Drosophila melanogaster: one gene and its partner. The protein of the gene in region 1 interacts with the protein of each later gene in a pairwise test. Each region holds a gene or a part of one and is shown on either strand. Other genes may lie near its edges.

The links. Proteins that work in one complex are often made in the same cells at the same time.
Region 2: the proteins of CG4766 (region 1) and CG11695 interact in a two-hybrid assay, tested with the Drosophila melanogaster proteins (2 studies listed by BioGRID).

What each region holds. Positions count from the first base shown.
Region 1 is NC_004354.4:5,995,643-6,003,484, forward strand, and holds CG4766 (uncharacterized protein), read right to left. Parts: upstream 5,156-7,842; 5' UTR 4,555-5,155; coding exon 4,352-4,554; intron 3,859-4,351; coding exon 3,305-3,858; intron 3,181-3,304; coding exon 2,831-3,180; 3' UTR 1,866-2,830; downstream 1-1,865.
Region 2 is NC_004354.4:11,575,270-11,580,437, reverse strand, and holds CG11695 (uncharacterized protein), read right to left. Parts: upstream 3,556-5,168; 5' UTR 3,486-3,555; coding exon 3,360-3,485; intron 3,294-3,359; coding exon 2,620-3,293; coding exon of another isoform or gene 2,595-2,619; exon of another isoform or gene 2,562-2,594; coding exon 2,364-2,561; intron 2,306-2,363; coding exon 1,669-2,305; 3' UTR 1,632-1,668; downstream 1-1,631. Other genes in the region: e(y)2 (enhancer of yellow 2), read left to right, coding at 3,960-4,265; CG11696 (uncharacterized protein), read right to left, coding at 4,399-4,740, 4,800-5,168.

The DNA of each region.
Region 1 (7,842 bases):
CGCTAAAAGATCTAAGCAAATAGAATGTCAAAATGCAAACGACAAACAAAAACAAAAGGCGCAAAAGGATAATGGATGATGGGGTTGGGCGAAGGAGCAGGATAGCAGAAAACCGCCCGCGGTCACTTAGAGCCCTAATTTAAATATCATTAGTGAACAATTAAAACAAAGAAATGCCATTCGAAGCCATGCGACAAAGCCAGAAAACGCAACCCAGAGCCCAGAAAACAGAAGCCCGAAATGCCAGGACAATGCGACGCCATCGCAATAGCAAGTCGCCTGTCACCGCCCACGAGTCGCCTGGGGGCGTGGCAGGTCTCGACGGAAGGATACGGAGTCAGGAGCTACGAAAACTGGAGGGCGGGTGCGCATAAATGTCAACGAGAAAAACAAAAAGGAAAAAAACTGACGAGCATTGACTCGCAAGATTCGAACATTAGATATCCTGTTTGGAAAAAATAAATGAAGTGAAATAAAACTATTTCCATTCAATTATTTAAATCAAATTCTATTGTAATTTTAAAATTTTCATCCATGTAAGGGACATAGTCACACTCACAAAGTTTTCACAATTTTGATAGATTTATAAGCATGCTCAAAAATTCCCAGGGTATCTGTGTACAAACCAAAATCCAGCGGCGAAAAGCGACAATATTTTGTTGTGGCTTCGCCAAAGTTGTGACAGCCGATCAAATGAGAAGGCTGCCCGGGATCAGGATGATTTTGGGACTTGGCCATGTGAATGGGCAGGTGCTGCGTCATGGTTCCTGGTACTTCGAACTGAGCTCTAACTGTTGGCCCCCATTAAATGGCCTCTCGAATACCATTTGTCAACGGGGCAATGGGAATCGTGCCTTATCGATGCGAAGCAACTGGCACATGGTTCTGGTCGCATCTCCACCCACAAAGTGAATGAAAATTAAGGAAAACAGGCAGTCACGTGTCCTCCCGCTGGCGGCCAAGTGCGCATCCTGCGGAGGATTCGCCTGCGGACTCGGATACCGATTCGGTCACCTGATGATGCTTTTCCCAGGACCAAGAACAGGACCACAGCCAAAGCTAGAGCCACAGCCAAAGCCACCCAGTCGAGGGTTAGTGGCACAGGGGTTACTGCTGGTGATGGAGGGCTGCGTAACATGATCCCTGCGTGCCTTGGCATAATTTGTTATTTTGGCCCACGCATTATTATATCCTTGGCATATCCTTGGACTCGAATCGCTCCGACCAACTGGCTCTTTGTGCTGACGCTGATTATATCCCGTGCTCTCCGTTTAGAGACACCTTTTGTCGACGCGTCCATCGAGGAAAATATCGATTACATTCGCTGAAAGTTTTCGTTCCGCAAAAAATCCAAAAAAAAAGAAAGAAAGAAAAAAAAAAACGAAAAATAATAAAGTAAAGCGAAGGGACAAAAGAACCGCAGAACAAAGCAGGCAAACCACTCGGTTTTCGTGGATCCAGCCCCCGCCAGAAAATAACCATAAATAAGGGTAATAAAAGTGATGCTCAGTTGTCGCTGCAGCAGCTGCATCTTCCCAGCCTCAGATCCCAAGACGATTCCGATCCACATCCAGATCCAGATATGTCGTCGTTTGCAAATAAATATTCGCCACTGCCAATAATCATAACATTAACTCAACCGCCGATCGAACTAATGAGATCCCAGCACATCCTTTCCAGATTTGTCCTTTTTTTGTGGTACATCTTCCGTTTGTCAGCCTCATTTAAATATATGAATATCAGTTAAGAACATCCATTTTTTAACTCTCCATGTTCTTTCAGCAAGTGTTGTGTAAGTATTTGCTAAGCAATCAAGTGATTTAAAATACAATCCCTATTGATAGGAAAACAATACCTGGAGTGTTGCCTTTGGCTATCCTTGAATTTATTCAAGCATTTTTTACATTAGCAATCTAGGATTATGTTGTACTTAAAACAAACTGCGGATAATCGTGGTAAATGTTAGGCATCGCATAATAGACATCGACATACATAAATATGTGTATATGTATATGTAAGTAGTAAAACAATGTTAAGTTGGACTTGGAACGATCAATGGAATCTGTATCTCCCTCTGTTCTAGCGCTATATGTATATATTATATATTTTTTGTATGTTCGTTTTGCTTTGATCTAGGATCTGCGAACTGTGAAACAATCGTATACGTCGAGTGTGTATAGCCACCGTGTAAAAGGAGCCGCCTGGACAAATGCTCTTTTTTCATTCTCTCGATTTTTCGATTTTTCCATCCGGACTTGCGAACCGGCGAGTCCATTGTTCGCCGGCCAAACAAAGGATGTGTCGTGAGCGTCGAGGGGCGAGTTATTAAAAACAATATTCGAGGCTTAGCCGGATCGCTTGGATGGGCAGATATATATCTCGAATCGCATCGAGTCGAGTTGAGTCGAGTCGAGTCGAGTCGAATGGGGAGTGGACTTATCTCGCATCTTCGCATTAACACTTTCGCACACACACACACACACACGCGCACGCACGCAGACAGTCACATATACACAGACATGGCACAAAATGGCCGCCAAGGAGCTGTGCTTATGCGTATGTATTTATTCGCATATGTACCTTTCATCTCCGACTTGCCTGGCACCTCATACACATCAGCACTCCCCCGACTTCGGATGGGTCGATATTTGCGTGACTGCAAGAAGAAGTTAGTCAAATCAACAATATGTGAATGGAGCAAAAGAATCTAATCTAACGGGTAAAAAAATAAGAACAATATTCACTCTATGAGTGCGGTTAATAATTATAAATTCCTGCCAAAAATGTCATCGCCATTATCGACCAGTCGTGACCTTTAACCTCTGACACCTTACAACTTCTCAAAGGCGTTGGCATTTGTGAGGAGCTCGCGGGTCAAGCGCCACACCTGCTTGGCCGCCTGCTCCAAAGCACTGGGGGATTTACCCTTGAACATGTCCAGTGCGGGAAGGAAGTAGTGGGGACAACGGCGATACTGCAGACAGGATATCAGCTGCAGGAATATCCCATTGATGCGGTCAGCGATGCAGCCCTCGTCCCACTCAAAGTCCCGCGGATGCTTCTCGCACTCGTAGAGCAGCAGGTTCTTCAGGTGATACGCACTGATGGGATTGCCTGGTAAATCCAGATGCCTGTCCCTCAGGGTCTTCAGCATGCTCAGACAACGTCGACGACAGCCACCTGAAAGGAATTCAATATGAGATTTAAATACACCAGATTTCAAATTCCCAAACTATACTAAAAGTTGCTAGTAAATTGTGTGATCTTTTCTGTAAGTGTAAAGGTGTATCCATAAGATGTTTACCTTGCAGCAGACGGTTTTCGGCCTCGAAGAAGCTGAGCACCCAGGCATCGCCCTCCATGCTGGCGGCATTGTTGTTCTTGTTCTGCATGATGACGCTCTCCTTGGACAGAAGATCGAAGCCCTCGGTCTTGACCTCCGCCACGATGTTGGGATGTGGCCACGGGAGATGTGGTACCGGCCAGTGGGCCGCCGATCTTGGCCAGATGCCTGAGCACTTAAATGCCGGCGTAATCTGGACCACGAATCGCTCCCGAATGCGCAACTTCACCTCGCTGGTGTCGCCCACCATTTTGACCATGTCGCGGTAGACACTTTTATCGCACGCCTGGGCCACCAGAGTCTGGAAACGGGCACGGATCTTCCGGGAGGACAAATAACCACTGGCCGTTATGAACTCCACCCACAGGGACATGGACCGCTTCCTTCCATCGCTCAGCTTCAGAACAGCACATCCCGGCAAGGTGCCATCGTCCACGAAATTGAAGACACCCATTTGATTCAGATACAGCACTATCTCGAATTCATTCGGGGATATCACTTCAACGCCCTCGAATCTGTAAAAGTGATGTTAACTATTTCGATGAAACCGCTTACTTACAATACTATATATATATTTTTAAATCTATATATTAATCTGATAGTTTATCGTGTTGAAATGAGTATAATAGGGGGCGACTGCTACTCCGTTTCTGGTGGCGAGACCTCGATGAGCATGACTTGTCAGTTAACTGACAATGACTCTGCACTTTGGTTGTAATGATCGCAATGGAGTGAAGAGGATCGGATTTGATTGCAATGGTGTGGAACTACTGGAGTGAGAAGTAGCCGCGATGACAGTCATCAGGGCACTGGAATTACCCAGATATCTTGTTGATGGCTCTGTGGTTGGGAACACTAGACATCTCTGATCGGATGAGCAGCTCTCGTTTTTATTAGCTAACTTATGCATCGGCTTAACATTAGGTAATATAGTTATTAATATATGGTTATTAAGAAACTAAAGAAAAGATACTGAGATACTAATGAAAAGATACTGAAAAAGTTTACCTGCCATTGCACTCGACGAGGCTGGAGATGAATCGCGGCTCCTGCAGTTCCACCTCTTTGAGGATGTCCTGGACGATCTTGCAGATCTCCCGGATGGCGGTGGCCGTCTTGTACATCCTGGCCTGAACCCTCTCCGTGCAGAATCGATTCATCTGATAGACCATGCGCGTCTGGGCGGCCATCATGTCCGGCGGCACCAGCATGGTACTCAGTTCGAGTTCCACCAAGCTCCAAAAGTACCAAAAGTACAACGATCTATCTGTAGATGTATCTTTTTACCGGCGACACTTGGTCTGGCGGCCAACTTAAAAGCCAGCCAATTATGCGAAATTCGGCAGCGGGTCTCCTTCTGGACGGGACAGAACAAAGGAACAATTCAATTGTGAGTTACGGTGACAGCAGAACCAACAATGGGCACAAGTGGAGCACGACGACGACGATGACCGCGGTGTACCGAGTATGTATATGGGTATTTTAGCTTTTGGCTCTTCAATTTTAGTAGCTGCTGCCCGCAGATACAGTATCTGCATTGGCGAATTGCTGACCGAATGATGCGCTGCGCTCAATAGCGATACCCCCAGCCTGATGCCGCTGCCGATGCCGATGCCGATTCCGAGTACGAATCGAAGTCAGCCAAACGATACTGATACCGATACCGAAGTCGCGGCTGGCTGGCGTTGTAAATCTCGCGGATATTTACAGCTTCGGGCAGATAAAAAAAAAAGCGCTGAAAGTGCAGTTTGGCCCGGCTGCAGCGAAGTATCTCAATATCCATGCCAGTATCTAACAAATCCGCCATCTCGGTGGCAGTGGCATGAATGGGACTCACAGGCTCAGATACACACAGCTGCACACACAAAGATACAGATACATGTCGGTGCTGTCACGTGACAGGGGTCTCTGTCTCGTGCCACGCATTCCGACGCTTAAAAAATCGATGAGATACTCGCCACAGGCCCCGCGTATCTGTCGTATCTGCCAGATGCACTTTGACAAAAATCTAGGCACTTTAAACGTTATAGATACAATTCTAATAGTAACTCTTTCTTAGTTGTTGTAGCAAAGAGCCACTTCTTCTTATCACAAATGTTATATTTTTCAAAGAAGAAATAGTTCGGTTATTTGATTTAATATAATTCCCTACTTAAGGTTCTGACTAAAATTACTAGTTAACATTAAAATAAAAAACACAAACAGAACTTCATTTTTCTGCGTGTACTAAAAACAAATACGCTCTCTGTCTGTCTCTCTGGCCTGCATGCGTATGGGTGTATCTATGGGGTTGCCTGCTTGTGTATCTGTGAGAGCGGCGCGTTGCCATTGGCCCGTCGAGGCCACGCCCCATTTGGCGGCCGTTACGCTGCGGCGCCCTCTTTGAAGTCTTGCGAGCCGCGGTGTGTGTATCTGTGTGTAAATTTAATTTGTTAAATACATTTCGGCCTGCCATCGCGTACAAGTTGTGTGCAATAATTTATCTGAAATGTGCACTCATTTAGCAAAGAGCAGCGAGCAACGAGCAACCCTCGTCCATGTCCCACGTTTGCCGGCCGATATCTTTATATCTCGCATCTCGCGGATACACAGATACATTTACACTCATAAATATGTCGCGTGGATTAATGTGCCAGTTGGCAATTTCTGACAGCGCTCTCAGTTCCAAGCGAGCAACTTCCTCCGTTCTCGGTTACCGCCTTTCCCCCTCTCCGTACGTCTTATATACCATATAATAATATGTACATCGTGTATACATACATATATGTAGTGTACTTGATGGACATGTGGCAAGATCAAAGCGCCCGTCGCCTCCTCCAATTAGACAAATCCCAAACGCAGCCACTAATTCGAGTGGAGGCAAAACACAAACCGAACACAATTGCCGACGACCAGCAGAATTTTCGCAGAAGGAAGCGGAAAAAAGGGGTCAAGCATCCCATGGTGACGGAAGTATCTAAAGACGTATCTGCAAGGTATGGATACAAAATGTTTAAGATACATACATATATGGAAAGAGATGCAGTGAACTAAAAGTTTTAAAAAACGTATAAGTTAGGAAATATATACAGCGAAATACTTAAAAAAAACTATATATCGAATATGATCAATTAGATGGCCCTTTAAACTAATTTTGGCCACTTAACGAAGGCCCACTGTATCTTTTGTTGGCTGTTAGGTCTTTTGTTCGGCTTTATTGACATCAATCAGTGGCAGTTTGAGCAGATCTAGCCATATCTAAATAGTATTCAGCCCATTCCAATTTGTTGGGGCCGTGAATCGTTGCTGTCAGCCGAATTTTAATGGAGCCCCAATGAATGGGATACGATTGGATGGGATACCATTTTAGAGAGAACGACGATGCCAGGTGCTCCTCACCACTCCATGGCATTTGGCTGATTTTTGGCGCGCTGGATTTCCACGTAACCAGATAGATGGAGGTGGCACTGGAACTCCTATCTAGATGCGCGCATATCTGCATAAATTTCAACAAACAGAGGAAACTAAAAAAAAGGCCACAACAAGGAGAACTACACAGTTTTTTTATTTTTTTTTCCAGTTTTTCGGTTTTCAGACCCAGGATCGTGGGTCTCGGGGTCGCCGACCATTCATGTGACTTCATGTGGCATGTGTGTGTTTTTCCCGTATTTTATATATCTCTTAGATCTCAAAGAAATTTGAATATAATTTATGTGCAATCGTCGCTTTTTTTTTTCGGTTGGTTACTGACCGCCCGTTCTAGAGGTCCGGTTCGGTTCTGTTCGGTTCAGTTCAGTTCTCGTTCCCCCGAAATGAAGAACGATCCATCCATCTAAACGTTTGTCACTTGCTCCGTTGTCGCCGCCACGTTTGTCTTCTTGCTGCTCCGCCAGCTCTGCTCCTTCGTCGCCGCGTCATCGTCTCTTTTGTCTTAGTGCCCCTGTCCCATCCTATACCATCCCGATCCGATCCCATTCGATCCGATCGGATCCCATCGGACTCCGTTACGATTCTAGTCCCTTCACTAACCATTCAGCGCAGTTTATTCCTCCGGCACATAGACATAATCAGGCTGTTCAGCTGAGCTGGGACCTCCAATTCTGGGAAATAGCGAGCCGATTAAAAAGATCATGTATCTAGATCTGAGAAAGTTATGGTGTAATCAGGCAAGCAAAGCAAAAAAGTATCTATCGCATGTGCATATACAAAGTTAAAAGTTTTCTAAGCTTTATGTAACTATCTTTACTTTGTAGTTTATAGACCTTAGTTTTAGACTTAGACTCTAGACTTTATTGACATTTCCAGGCTTCATGATTTCTCACATAACTCATAGATACTATGGCTTTTACTCAGATACCAAGTAAACAGCTGGTGAATTGATACTCGAGTGTTTCTGATATTTATACCTCAAAGCACTTTGTAATTCCCAATTTGTTTAAAGGCTTTGGTCATTGGTCGTCGATGACATTCCCATCGCATGTCGACGCAAAGCTGAAACGTGTGATGAATTAATAAGCATC
Region 2 (5,168 bases), 5.6 Mb from region 1:
TATTTGCAATAGCAGATAAGTCTTTATTTGTCATATGTAATTTAAGTGTCAGTTCTGGTCACCCTGGAAACCAAGGTGGCAGCCCTAAAAGCATCTCGAATTTCCGTTACTTTTAGCGCCAACAAAATGGCGGAAATGTATTTGCAGTTAATTAGTATTGCCATCTCTCTCTAAGCCAGCACCGTTCGCCTTCTCTTTCTTTTCAAGACTCGTATACGAGAGAGATCGCCTCTCTATTGTCATCTCGCTCTAAATCGATCTGTATTATTTGGCAATTGTTAAGTTTCGTATAACATTTCACTAGTTATATGAAATTTACCAATTTATTTTGTATTTTGACTGGTTAAGGCGCGTAAAACGTTACCCATATATGCATATATATTTGCTTAATTTGCAACATTTTACACGTCTTTTAAGACTTCAGTTTGCATTGCGACTTGTACAATGTTGCGTTCCAAGACACATTTTTTTGTCTTGTATTGTATTGTATTGCATATTGTATATTGTATATTGTATATCATTCATTTTGTTTTGTAGCTTGACAAGCGCGTCAACCATGAAAACAATTCGTTTGTGATTTCCAAATAGTCGTACTCATCTCACTGTCCGTAAGACAATTCAACTTAAACATTTTCGACTATGCGGAAATCGTTACTCTTGCTTGATTTTGCTTCGGAGAACGTTTCGAACGATTATCAATGTGATTCGAAACGATCTCTAAAGCTATATGTAACACCAATTTACCCTTTCGATGGCCATCCGAGCTACCTAAACGAAAGAGAAGAGGATGGAATTAGGATTGTCATAGGCGCAACGTGTCGGAAAATCTAATTCAATGGATGCTACACTGGTTGGATTTGGATTTATGTTTTATTTTTTTGGAGAGGATCTCGGAAGTAACGTACTCACTTGCAGCTAGTTGGAGACTGAATGGAAAAGCGAGGGAAAATTGAGCGGGTGTTATTAATAGGTCACCACCATTTTGCTGCCAGAATTCGAGTTCAAGTGTGTATACGTTGCACTGCGCGGAGTACTCACCAGCTCGATGGGAACTGTACCAAGTGGATGGATTCTAAACACCCCGAACTTCTTTTTTGTGTTAAATTTATGCGAGTGCAAGGCAATCGGAGAAAAACAAGAGCAAAATGCCAATTGAATGAGTAATCAGTGTGTATGTATACCAGAAAATAATGAACTCAACTGCAAACGTGTCTTTTCAGTGTCTTTTGGATCAAAGGAAGTGAAGTTTTCAATTTAGAAATAATAGCAACCAAACTAATACCTCTAACTAAAGCTCTTTTTGTTTCGCTTACCTAAACGCTCGACTTATGATATAAAAAGTAGCCCTAGCTTAGTGTGACCAGGCCGCGAATGCCGCAACATCTAGCTGCTCTAGCCCTTGATATTTTCGAGTTTTGGCCACACTAATGACTGCGAAAATACCGAATAAAATATAGTGGGAACTGCATGAATGCGAAAATAGCGGGATTCCAATACCGAATAAAATATAATGGGAACTGCATGAATCCGAAAATAGCGGGATTCCAAATTCGTTCCAATTGCAAAATACACTTTTGAATATTATAAGCTAATAATACCCAAACTTATTTCGAATTAAATGTGTTTTATGTGTCATTCCAATCTAGTTTATTTGGTTTTTAGAATCAATCAGTCATTCATGTCGCCCGCACCCATGACGTGGCTCATATCCTTGCCTCCAGCGGCCAGGACGTCGAGCAGCAGGTCACCTTTGTCCTTGCGCTTGCTGGGCGGCACCTTCTTCTGCTGCTGCAGGGCGGCCACCTGGGCGGCGTGCATCTGGCGGCGGTGCTTGTGCATGTTCCCCGAGTTTTTGAAGGTGCGCTCGCAGAAGGCGCACTCGTACAAATCCTGGCCGGTATGCGTGGCTGTGTGCTCCTCGAGGCTGCGACTGCTCTTGAACTCCTTGGCGCAGTGCGTGCACTTGTGGTATTCCTTCGGATGATGATAGCGTATGTGGGCCGCCAGCTTGGCCCGCGAACCCTTCTCCAGGCCGCACTGCTCGCACTTCCACTGACGCAGCGAGGCGGCATCCAGATGCATGTACATGTGCTTGCGCAAACTGTTCTCGTCGGACAGCCACACCTGGCACTCCTGGCACTGTACCTCGGGCAGCTGGGAGCCCTCGCGATGCACAGTCCGCTTGTGCACTAGCAGGTTCTGTTTCGTCTTGAACTTGGCACCGCACGAGTCGCAGATGAAGGGTACGAAGGCGGGGTCATGGGTGCGTCGCATATGCAGCCGCAGGTCAACGGCGGTGCGAAAGCTGTGGGCGGATAGAGGCAATTCATCAATTCGCTCTTCTACTTGCTGCCTACACTTACGATCTGTCGCAGTGCTTGCACTGCTCATTGCGCTCCTGCTGGTGCACCCTGGAGTGAATGGTGAGAAGGAACTGCTTGGAGAACCGCTTTGAGCACTGATCACACGCGAAGCTTAGGTCGTCCTTGTTGGGATGGAAGCGTAGCATGTGTACATCGTAGCTAATCCGGCTGACCAGTTGCTTGGAGCAGATCTTGCACCTGCACAGTTCATTCATTAGTAGGGGGATTCAATCAATTGCCTGGGCTGGTCAAGTACCTAAAGTAATTCGGATCGTTGTGCATGTGCAGGTGGTCCACGTAGAGGGCACGCTTCTTGTAGCGCCGCTGGCAGCAGACCACATAACCGAGGGACTGGTGATGATTCCGGAAGTGCCGCTTCATCTCGGCGAAATTGGGAAACTGTTCGTCGCCGCCGCAAATGCAGCACTCCAAACGACCGTGCAGAGCGATATAGCTGTCCATTTCGCGGCTATTGCTGCTGCGGCTCTCTGGATCGCCCTCGCCTTCGGCATCCTCATCCTCGTCCGCCTCGGCCTTGTGGGTCTTCGTCCTGGCCTTGGCCTTGACAGCCTGAGTTTTGGGTGCTGTGACTGCCCGGGGTAGACGCATACGGCGTCTAATGGGCGACGGCAGGCGCATTTCTCGTAGCGATGTGGTGCGAATGCTACTGCTTCTGCTGTTGCTGCTGGCATCGCCGTCGATCTCGTTGCACTCTTCGTTGTCGGCGGCCGCGGGACTCACATCGATCTCCGGTTCGCACAGGATCTGCGCCTTAGTGTCCGCATCCTCGTCCTCGGAGAACGGCTCCATCTTCAGTTGCTGCAGGCCCAATTGTTTCTTCATCACCATGGCGCAGAACTGCTCGAAGTCGGCCAACTGCTGCCAGCACTGGGTGCAGAGGCTCTTGGACACCCCATCGTTGGGCAGGAGCTGGTAACAAGGATGCAATCTGGTCATTAACAAATGTTGGTGGTTCAAACGGAATTCACTGCTTACCACCAACTGCAGGTGTTTCTCAATTAGCTCCGCTAGATTGGAGGGCACTGGCTGATCGCCGGAGTCATCCTGGTCAAAGATTGGCACACTGTGCTCAGCATCGTCCAGGCACAGGCGGCATATCATTGCACTACAGCTGTAGGAAAAGCAATTAATTCAATTAATTGCCTCGCAAATTCAGTTTAAGACGTCGCCGAGGTGTTGCCAGACTGCCAGGCTGAATAAACTTCGAGCGACAGAGATGCCAGAGTGGGCGCTTAAAAGCAGCTTAAATTTTAAGTGACCCAGGAAAATGACCGAAAACATACGAATTGTGCATACATTCCAATTTAAACTAAAAATTTTTAAAACTTTACATATATTTGGTAATATATTTTCATTTCTTTAAAGTTGATTAATGTCCGTATCTAAAAACTAGCTACAAAGTAGCCAGACTGTTTGCCATGACCACTGTACCAACATCACAACACAACAAAACAAAAACACAGCTCAAAAAGATAGATGCAGCGAAGAAAAGCAAAAAAACAGACGCTGCGAAATCGACAAGGACTCGAAAAAGGAAACTTGGTAATTTGCAAGACTTAGATACGCGACACAAGGATGAGCACTTCCGGCGCAGTTGATCAGTACACGGTGCTAACCGGCGACCGTTCCAAGATCAAGGATTTGCTCTGCAGCCGCCTTACGGAATGTGGCTGGCGGGACGAGGTGCGTCTGATGTGCCGCAACATCCTGATGGAGAAGGGCACCAACAACAGCTTCACCGTAGAGCAGCTGATCGCCGAGGTAACACCCAAGGCACGCACCCTGGTCCCGGATGCCGTCAAAAAGGAGCTGCTTATGAAGATACGCACCATTCTCACGGAAATTGAGGAGGAACCCGATGAGCCAGAGGACGAATCCTAACTTTAACTCAGCGTCATTGGATTTGTATATTAATAAAGTTTATTTGTACGATTTTATACATAAATCCCGACCAGGGAACGTGTACACAAAGTCGCAGGGACAGACACCAAACACAGACACACAACACACAGATTCAGTCGGGCGTGGGGCACACGGAGCTGTTGCTGCCGAAATCGAAGCCCTCGGTATCGGGTATCTCAATCAGCGACTTGGCAATGCCACCGAGTGGCGGCAGCATGTGCCCGGCTAGATTAGTCGGAGCTGCCGCTGGAGGAGCAGGCTGGTTAGGATGATTGGGATGAGCAAGTGGAGCCGCTGTGGAGGTAATGCTACTGCTGGGCTGCGAGTACTTTCTCACCCAGTCGTTGGGATGCATCTTCTTCTTGTGGTTGTGCATGTTGGCATGAGACTTGAAGGTGCGCGTACAAAACTGGCATTGGTACAGATCGATGCCCGTGTGAGTGGCCATGTGCTCCTGTAATGAAAACGTTCCGGGATTAGCACGATCAGAATCTGATACGCTGGTCAACTCACGGCCAATGCCCGCGGCAGCTTGAACTCCTTGTCGCAGAGACTGCACTTGTGCCGCTTGGCGGAGTGATGGTACCGCATGTGGCTGCTGAGTGCGGCACGGGATGACTTCTCTGCATTGCAGAGCAGGCATCGGTACTTGGTGTCGCCGTCGCGGTCATCGTGGCGTGCCAGATGCTTGCGCAGGCTCCGTTCGTCCCGCAGCCAGCGGCCGCACAGGGTACACTGCACCTCCGCCACCGGCCCGTCCGGATGCAACGCCTTCTTGTGGATGAGAAAGTTGGCCTTGCTCCTGAAGTGTGTACCGCATATGTCGCATATGATGGGCGTAAAGTCTGCCGCATGCATGCGCTTTACATGGGCACTTAGCTC